Linked DNA regions of Neurospora crassa OR74A. The protein of the gene in region 2 interacts with the protein of the main gene of each other region in a biochemical or structural test. Links are inferred from orthologs where the notes say so. Each region holds a gene or a part of one and is shown on either strand. Other genes may lie near its edges.

Evidence for each region. The genes of interacting proteins can lie anywhere in the genome.
Region 1: the proteins of NCU04507 (region 2) and NCU06859 form a complex in vitro, tested with the Saccharomyces cerevisiae proteins (2 studies listed by BioGRID). The link is inferred for Neurospora crassa OR74A from reciprocal best matches to the Saccharomyces cerevisiae genes NPA3 and RBA50.

What each region holds. Positions count from the first base shown.
Region 1 is NC_026507.1:530,208-534,616, reverse strand, and holds NCU06859 (hypothetical protein), read right to left. Parts: upstream 2,944-4,409; 5' UTR 2,708-2,943; coding exon 1,238-2,707; 3' UTR 790-1,237; downstream 1-789. UniProt on the Saccharomyces cerevisiae protein: Forms an interface between the RNA polymerase II enzyme and chaperone/scaffolding proteins, suggesting that it is required to connect RNA polymerase II to regulators of protein complex formation.
Region 2 is NC_026504.1:3,142,452-3,146,133, forward strand, and holds NCU04507 (ATP binding protein), read right to left. Parts: upstream 2,422-3,682; 5' UTR 2,175-2,421; coding exon 2,102-2,174; intron 2,027-2,101; coding exon 900-2,026; 3' UTR 730-899; downstream 1-729. Other genes in the region: NCU04508 (hypothetical protein), read left to right, coding at 1-197, 285-309. UniProt on the Saccharomyces cerevisiae protein: Small GTPase required for proper nuclear import of RNA polymerase II (RNAPII). May act at an RNAP assembly step prior to nuclear import. Promotes sister chromatid separation during anaphase.

The sequences.
Region 1 (4,409 bases), on a different chromosome or scaffold from region 2:
GCAATCCCATCTTCCGTTCCTCTATTTCGTCCAGTCTCAAGTACTAATCACTTATCCACCATCGGGGACCACCTCAACCCGGGCCGGGCCCGATGCAAGGACATCAACTGAGACAAAATGAGACGAAACGTTGCGGATATTAGAAGATTCCTCTACTTACAGTACGTAACTCACTATCTGTTCTTTCGCGCCTTCCAGTACATAGACCCTTTATGTCTTCTCTACCTATCTTCTCTCTAACCTAAGAAGTAACTAGCCTAACGTTCGTGAGAGTGCAAACGCCTCCCTTAGAAAGGAGATCACTTAGGCTACAGTACTCCCCAGGATTCAACAAAGATCAAACTTGCAACTCGGTGACTTCCAAGGTACCCAATCTAATCAGAGATACGAAACAGATATCTTTGTCATGATTAGACTCCCTCCTAGGCAAGGAGGCATATATAGTAATGTCAAGTACAACAAGTCTTGCTTGGCCTGGTCGTATAGTGGAAATATGATTGAAGTATGTGACATACGGAAGTAGGACACTGTAGGAAGAGGAATAAGTAGTCTAGAGTACTTGGAGTGAAAGTGAGAGTGAAGTAACGGAAGGAAGAAATTAAATATCATGAGTTGGTCGGATACATCAGATACCTCTGTCAGGTTGATCATAGCCCGTCTGAATTCTCAACAACTGAAGTATGGACTCCCTTTCTAGAGGGTTGGGGTTTCTAGGGAGTAGGTAGCCACTGAAGATATAAATAGGAAAGTGAACCTAAATCGTGATTCAGCATGTCTAGAATCTAAGGATCGATGTGATATAGACTAGTTATTCGGTGGAAAATTGTGTTGTAGGAATAATGTACAGTGAAAGAAATGAAGTTCTTCTGCATGGGATATACTAAGTGCGGGTATGCAGGAAGAGACCCCGAGCTTCATAGGCGAGGTAAGCTGCAACCGACCCGACCAAAGGAGACAATTTATTTTGTGTACAATGTTAGGCCACTTGATGAGTATGAAAAATTGCAATTTGACACCACCAGAGGGGTATGAAACCTGGAAAATAACACCAACCAAAAAAAATCAGTGATCCGCCCCCATCGATCCATTTCCATTTTACCCTATCCCTTACCGGCCAGCCGGTCAGTCGGTCGGTGTCCCATCCCATCCCATACCCATTTCCTACTATACTACAAGGCACAAGTTTTCCACGACTCTTATCCATATTCTCTTTTTTTTCGTTTTCATCCAACCCCGCTCACAAACCTCTCCACTTCTCCTTCCACCCACCCTTCTCAAACAACCACATGGCCTCAATAGCATACGCCCTCACACTCACACTGCCCACCCCCTCCTCCACATCCGCCGCCTCCCCGATACTCTCCAACACCCTTCCCTCCTGAAAACACCTCCACAGCGCAAACGCCAAATCATCCTCATCACCATCCCTACCGCCCGCACCCGTTCCCCACTCCCCCTTTCCCAGACGATACAGCATCCTCCCCAGCGTCCTAAACGCAATGCACCTCTGACTATTCACACTACTCCTCGCCAGCCTCGCCAGCTCGGGGATCGTGTACCCGGCTGCCTCGGGCGCCTCGCCGTGGTGATGCAGGCCCTTGGACACGGGAATCTGGCGCGACAGACGGGGCGGGATGAGTCGCCCCTTGAAGTCGAAGCGGAGCGCCGAGACGGGCAGCGAGGTCTGGCCCGGGTAGTAAGGGGATTCCTGGTCGGCGGGCGAGTCTTCGGTGGGGATGGGCGCCATCCAGGCGAGCTTGGAGGGGTCGGCGGGAAGCGAAGGGAAGAACTTTTGGTGCAGGGTGGCGAGGAAGTCGGGGTCTGAAGGGTCGAGGTCGGGAGGGGCGGGGGCGGCGGGGAAGTGTACGCCTTTGAGCTCTTCGTCGTCGCCGTGGTTGTGGGAGGGGTCGTTGCATTGGTGCGTTGTGGTGGGAGTTTGGGGTTCGGAGGAGGAGCCGCCGGCGGTGGGCATGGCAAGGTCTTCGGCGGAGAAGCTGGTCTTTTGGGGGTAGGGCGTGGGTGGCTGTTTGGATCGGATGGGGAAGCTGCCGGAGGGAGGCTGTTCGGGGGCGAGGTCTTCGTTGAAGGTGACGGTCTTTTTGGGTTTCTTGGGTTGGTCTTCGGTCATTTCCTCATCTTCGTCTTGTACGTATGCGTTTTTCGAGCTCGAGGTCTGGATGGAGGGTGGCTTCTTGTAGGAGATGGTGGGACCGCTGCCGACGTCGGCCCTCTTTTCCGTTGGCTCCTCGTCGGCCGGTTTCTCGGGAATGTCCCAGACTTTGGGGTCGTTGTTGTTGGAGCCGTCCTCGACGTTGGCTCGTCGGAGAAGCATCTGGATAAGCTTGGGGTCAAGGCCACTGAAGAGCTCTCGTTGGGCTTCGGCAATCTCTTCTGGCGACATGGAGCTCAGGAGCTTGTTGTTCTCCTCGTCAATCCTCTGCTTTTCGGATTTGATAGGGTCCGCGTCGATCTGGGGCCTCGCGCCGCTGGTGAACTGGATGGCTGGTGATGGTACTGGTGTGGTCGCTTGGGATGACGAGGACGATGGGTCTGCTTGTTGCTGTCGCTGCTTTTTGAAGGCAGACACTCGTTTCTTGGGAGCGGGAAAGCCTCCGGAGGAAGCAGGCGGCGGCGTTGGGAACGCGGGAGGCTTGACCTCGCCCACTTTGCGTTCCTTGACATCGAGGATTTCGAGAGTGCCGTCCATTGTGTTGAGGCCGTTATGATGTGTCGCGGTCGTTTTGTATCTTTGTTATCGGCGTTTGTCAATCAGAGTTGAACGAGTTGGACTGTTTGGTTGATGGTGATGATGATGGTGATGGCGAATAATGGGGGATAATGTATGCGGCGCTCAAAGAAAGCCGTGGATGGAGCCGTGGATTCTCTTTGATACAGATTCGGTCATCCGGCATAAAGTTCAAAGAAATGCAACGAGGGGCTTCCTTCCCTTCAAGTTGCCTGCCGAACGAAAAGAATTGTCAGCGGCGGATCCCGGCGGCTTTAACGACCTACTATGTAAGCCAGCACTGCATTAGCGGCGATCCAAGACACGGGGAGTACACAGTATTCATGCTAGTATTTACAGTGCATTACCGTACCGTGCGCGGCTTGGGGTTTCATTTGGCCCCGTTTTCGTCGTCTGTTTCGCGTTTCGTATTCCGGAATACCAACATGCACATGGATTGTGGCCGCTGGTCCGATGGTCTCCAAGGGAAGAGATCAGCATGAGATGAGCTTGTTTCCGACATTCTCGTCGACTATGCCAAGTGAGCTCATGTCGATTTCCTCTTTGTCAGTCAGTCACTTGATGGCATCTTGGCGGCCGTGTGCTTTGTGTTTGCCGGGTTGGTGGTTGCGTTACATACCTACCTATGTACTGAGCGTGAGTGGGTGTCTTGAGATCTTGTCATTCGACGTTACACCAAGATAATGCGGCCAGGGCCTATCAACACACCGGCTGCAGTACGCACGCAGAAAGAGCGTAATTCGGAATCGCAATCTGGTGCTGTAATTTCATACCTAGGTACGTATTACCACTGCAAGCAGAGTGTGCCTTTCCCCGGCCCCAGGCTACACTATGAATTCAAGTTCTTCCAACAATGGAAATCGTAGCCGCGACGACATCATTTTCACTCCAAAGGTACGTTCGTGTGGCTGACCAGCCGAAACCAGCCGCATTGACGAGTGTGACGTACCGGCAACTGAAATTTGGAATGGCCACTGCACTGCAGAGTTCAGTTCAGTTTCGTCGCGGTTATTGTGTCGCTAGCCAAGTGGGTCGCACAAGCGCGGCTCCAAATGTCGCGCAGCATCCATCCAGAGAATCTGGAATCACGGTACGTACCGGTACGAGCGCTCGTACCTGACAAGGGGTCTGAGATCTTGGAGGTGGCCCGTGTGTCTTCCGCTTCTTATCGCATCTTGTTCATTGCGCTAGCACGGCGAGCACGGGGGACCCTCGTCTGGTTCGTACTGTGTTGTCCTCTTTTTGAGTCTCGGCTTCAGTTTCCTCGCTCAACGGGTGAATTCCCAAAAGTCAACCTGACATCAAACCGGCAGTTTACAATTCAAAACACTTTAGCTCTGCGGGCAACTTATCTATGAGGCAAGGTTCACTTTCATTACCTCGCTAGTTTTAAAGTTGAATCGACATCTCCTATTCTTCCCATGGTCGCCCGGTTAGTCAGCCGTGCAGCGGTGCGCGCCGTGTGGAGTCATGCATCACCTCCAACCCGACTTGAACCCCAAACGGATCGGGTCCAGTCACTCACAGCGGAGGTCACTTTTTCCCAAGAACCCCAAAAAGAAGCCCTGTGGCCCCTGCGAGGTGTTGCAGTCCAGTCGGCCGTCCATTGATGGGCCGTGGGAGTGTAACCTTGTTTCTCCATCTGCCCTTTCTGCCATTCCCA
Region 2 (3,682 bases):
TCCCGCGAGCAATACCAGGTCCCCAACTCCCAGGGCTTCACCACCGGTGCCTCTAACAACGACGGCAACAGCGGTGGCAGCAGCGTCATGTGGTACACTTGCGGCGACTGCGCGGTCCGCGTGCCGCTCGAGAAGGGCGCTCCTATCCGTTGCCAGAAGTGCGGTGCGCGTGTTTTGTATAAGGAGCGCACCAAGAGGTACGTTTTCTTTGGGCTTACCCGGTGGAAGATTCTGAGAAGGTGGGAGAGAAAAATCTTATGCTAACGACGGTCTGGGGGTAATAGAATGGTTCAGTTCGAGGCTCGGTAAATGGTTTCTTATTCGACTTTGTTCGACTTGGGGCCAACAAAGGAGGTGTAGAAAGGGGTCGCTCTTCCTCGATGCCGTATCGGGCTGAAGTTTTCATCGTATTTGGACCGGCCGGGATGTCCTGATGCCCAAGGACGGGAGCCGAGTCAGCCTTGGAGGCAACGGGAACATTTGTCGAGGGGAGCTGGGACCGTAGGAGACTCGAACCGTCGATATCTTGGTGTGATTTTGCACCATTAGCGGTGGCTTAGCATGGCCCAGCCTTGAACCTACGGCTTGTTGTGATCAGAAGAAGGGAGATATCATATTCATCACAATATCATGATGGCGGCGTTCTGGGAAATATCGGTAGACTTGTGGGAATTTATACAAAGAAAGCATTGCTTTTCATCATCGTCATCATCACCTATCACCATCAGATGGATCCGTTCTGTGATGCTTCTCATTATTGATCATGTTTTTTGCCATATAGAATATTGGTATGGTATCACTCTGAAAACGCCGGTTGTATGCTAAATCTCCTTCCCTCTCGATCACTTGTCTTGCCAACACTGCTCCATAAATCCTTTCCTTACCAATGGCCAATCTCATCACCTCTGGCTGTGGAGGTACTTTGCAAAACTTGCGTCGGCCAAAACCGAATCATCCTCGCCCTGCATGGCAGCGGCGTACCTCGCCTGCAATCCCTCGCGGTCATACTCGTCGTTGGGATCGTCACCATATTCCTCGTCGCTGCTCTCCTCGTCCGTGCTCAACGGCTCGGGGGCCTCTTTATCATTGACGTCACCCACTGTGACGTCGCCCGCCGCGTCGCCCATCGACATTCCCTTCATCATTTTGTTGAGTTCCCTCTCCCGCGCCTTCTTCTTGTTCTCCTCCCTTTCTTCGCGCCTCCTCTCGAGCTCAGGCTGGTAATCGCGCTTGAACTCCTCTGCCTTCTCCTGAACCGCGGCAAAGAACTCGTCAATGCCCGTCCCGTACAGCGAACTGACGCCCACCACGTTCAGATGTGCGTAAAACTCCTCCAACATCAGACTCATGCTGTTCAACAGCGAGCCCATGTATCCGCTGCCCGAGCCCATGCCATCGCCGCTGCCCTCCGCTCCGCCAAACGCGTTGTTGGTCTCGTCCTCCTGCAGCGCAGCCTGGAACGCATCATAGTCGGTCATCCACTCCTTTGCAAAAGCCGGGTCCTTAACGTCCGACTTGTTGAAGACCAGAATCATGGGCAGCTTGGTCTTGTAAAGGATACTGCAGGCGTACAGCATGTTGCTCATGAAGGTCGACGTCGAGCTCGTCCGGGGGGTGTCGATGATGTAGGCGATGACGGTGGGGAAGGATGAGGCGAGCGACTCAAGGAGAATCTGGCCCGACGCGGACCAGACGAACACCTCGATCTGGCCCGGCGTGTCGACGAGAATGTGCTTGATGGGCGTGTGCGTCGGGTCGTCGGGCTTGGGCGCCGTGCGCTTCTCGAGCAGGCCGAGAACCTGGTCGACTTTGGTGGCAAAGAGGTTCAGCGATGTGAGAATGCCGCCGTTGGGGCCGAGGTTGTACTGCTTCATCACCTCCTTGTAGTTGACCGAGTCGCGGATGTCAATGTTGCTCTCGAAGGGCGAGTGGGTGACTGCTGGGTCGAGGTTGATGACATAAGGAGGCTCCTTCTTTCCGTGGAGATGGGCATTGATCTGTTGCATAAAGGTTGTCTTGCCGGATCCTGGGGAACATGGTCAGCTGGATGATTCCGCTTGCGGTTGGGAAAAGCACAGAACATGAGCATGCGTAGACCTACCTGCCATGCCAACGCAGACGATGGCAACAGGCTGGTCAGCCTTGGCGGCAGACGATGCCGAAGTCGAAGCCATGGTGCGACAGCTGTGCACGGGTGCGTGGAAGATCGTTTGGTGATCTCTGTGTTATCTGTCGGATAAAATCAAAGTTGTTGCAGATTTCAGTTTGCGCAGAGATGGTGTTGTAATGAGTCTCGGGAAGAAAGTTTCACGGATGTCGTAAGCGGCGGGGTCACTGCTGTAGGGATGGTCATAGGTGGTTGCGACGGAGTGAATGTCCGAGGGCCACAGAGGGGCAACACCGCAAGAGAAAAAAAAAAACAAAAAAAAACCAAAGTCCATTGATCGCCTGGCGTAGCGGGCGGAAAGGTTCCATCCATCAAGGCATGGGTGGGGTGAAGGGTAGGTAAGGCTTGGCATTTTGTTTTCCCCAAAGTGAAATGACTGAAACCTCGACATTGGTCTCTTTTCATCCTCTCACCCATTCATCTTCCAACTACCTACGCCTTCATGTTCCTCGACATCCAATCCATATCTGGCCGGCTCGCATCTCATCCATCATCTTTTTACCAATTTGGAACTAAATCAGTTGGCGACCTATACCCTGTTATCATGCCTATATCAAAAGCCCATATGGCCTGCTTGACAGCTTCTTGTTTTCAGCCGAGCCGCTGTTAATCCGCGAATACCACAGCCCTCAACCGCCGCAGTAGCTAGTCGACACTCGACCTAGTAACTTGGCGGTCCCGCTCTTCAAGTTATACCCCGGTATTATGGGTGCCTGGATATTTTAGGATCTCAACGGCTGGATGGCATAGCACTTGCCGCGGGCAGACAAGCCCCGAAGGCTTCATCGACCTCACAGGCTATTGTTCAATGAAGTCTGTCCACTTGTCCAGTTTCAACTAATCCTTTCACGCCTAGCAATGAAGCCGGATACGGATGCTTTTTGGACAATTCGGGGAGTCGTCGAGTGGCAATTTGATACTGCTGAACGAGACCGGGATAAGCGATGGGAGAAAAGGCGTCTCACGTCATCTTCGGAAAAGGTCAGGAACTATAGGCAGGATGCTGGCGGGGGCGATTCACCAATGCCAATGACCGCTAAACCCATGCTAAGCGTATGGTCGGTGGTCCCGCGCTGGGGAGTGGGCGCAGCCGGTGGCCTCTTATTGCGTCAAAATTCTCTTCAAAATGGTGGGTGATGGGAGCTGGGTTGGTCCAATAAGCCACAAACGTAATGGCAAGATCCGTCTGTTCGGCACTACCAGGAGGCAGCGTGGCCGGGAACCAAGCGGCCATCCACAGGCTGCCCCTCATGATACTCAGCCCTACCAACCTACCTCTACCACGTTCTATCCATTATACTCCAAGCTGACCCCCAAGATCCGTTTGAATTCTCTCCCTCCCACTTCCTCTCTTGTTTCGTCTCTCGTCCCACACCAGGGCCAGATTCATCATCCGACTTGGGCCAAATTCCAGCGACTCATCAAATCCAGGCTTCGGAGATCGGCTACTATACCCTGCCCACACCTCTATAGAGGTGAATAAACTTTCATTTATCGGTGTTACATATCTACCCA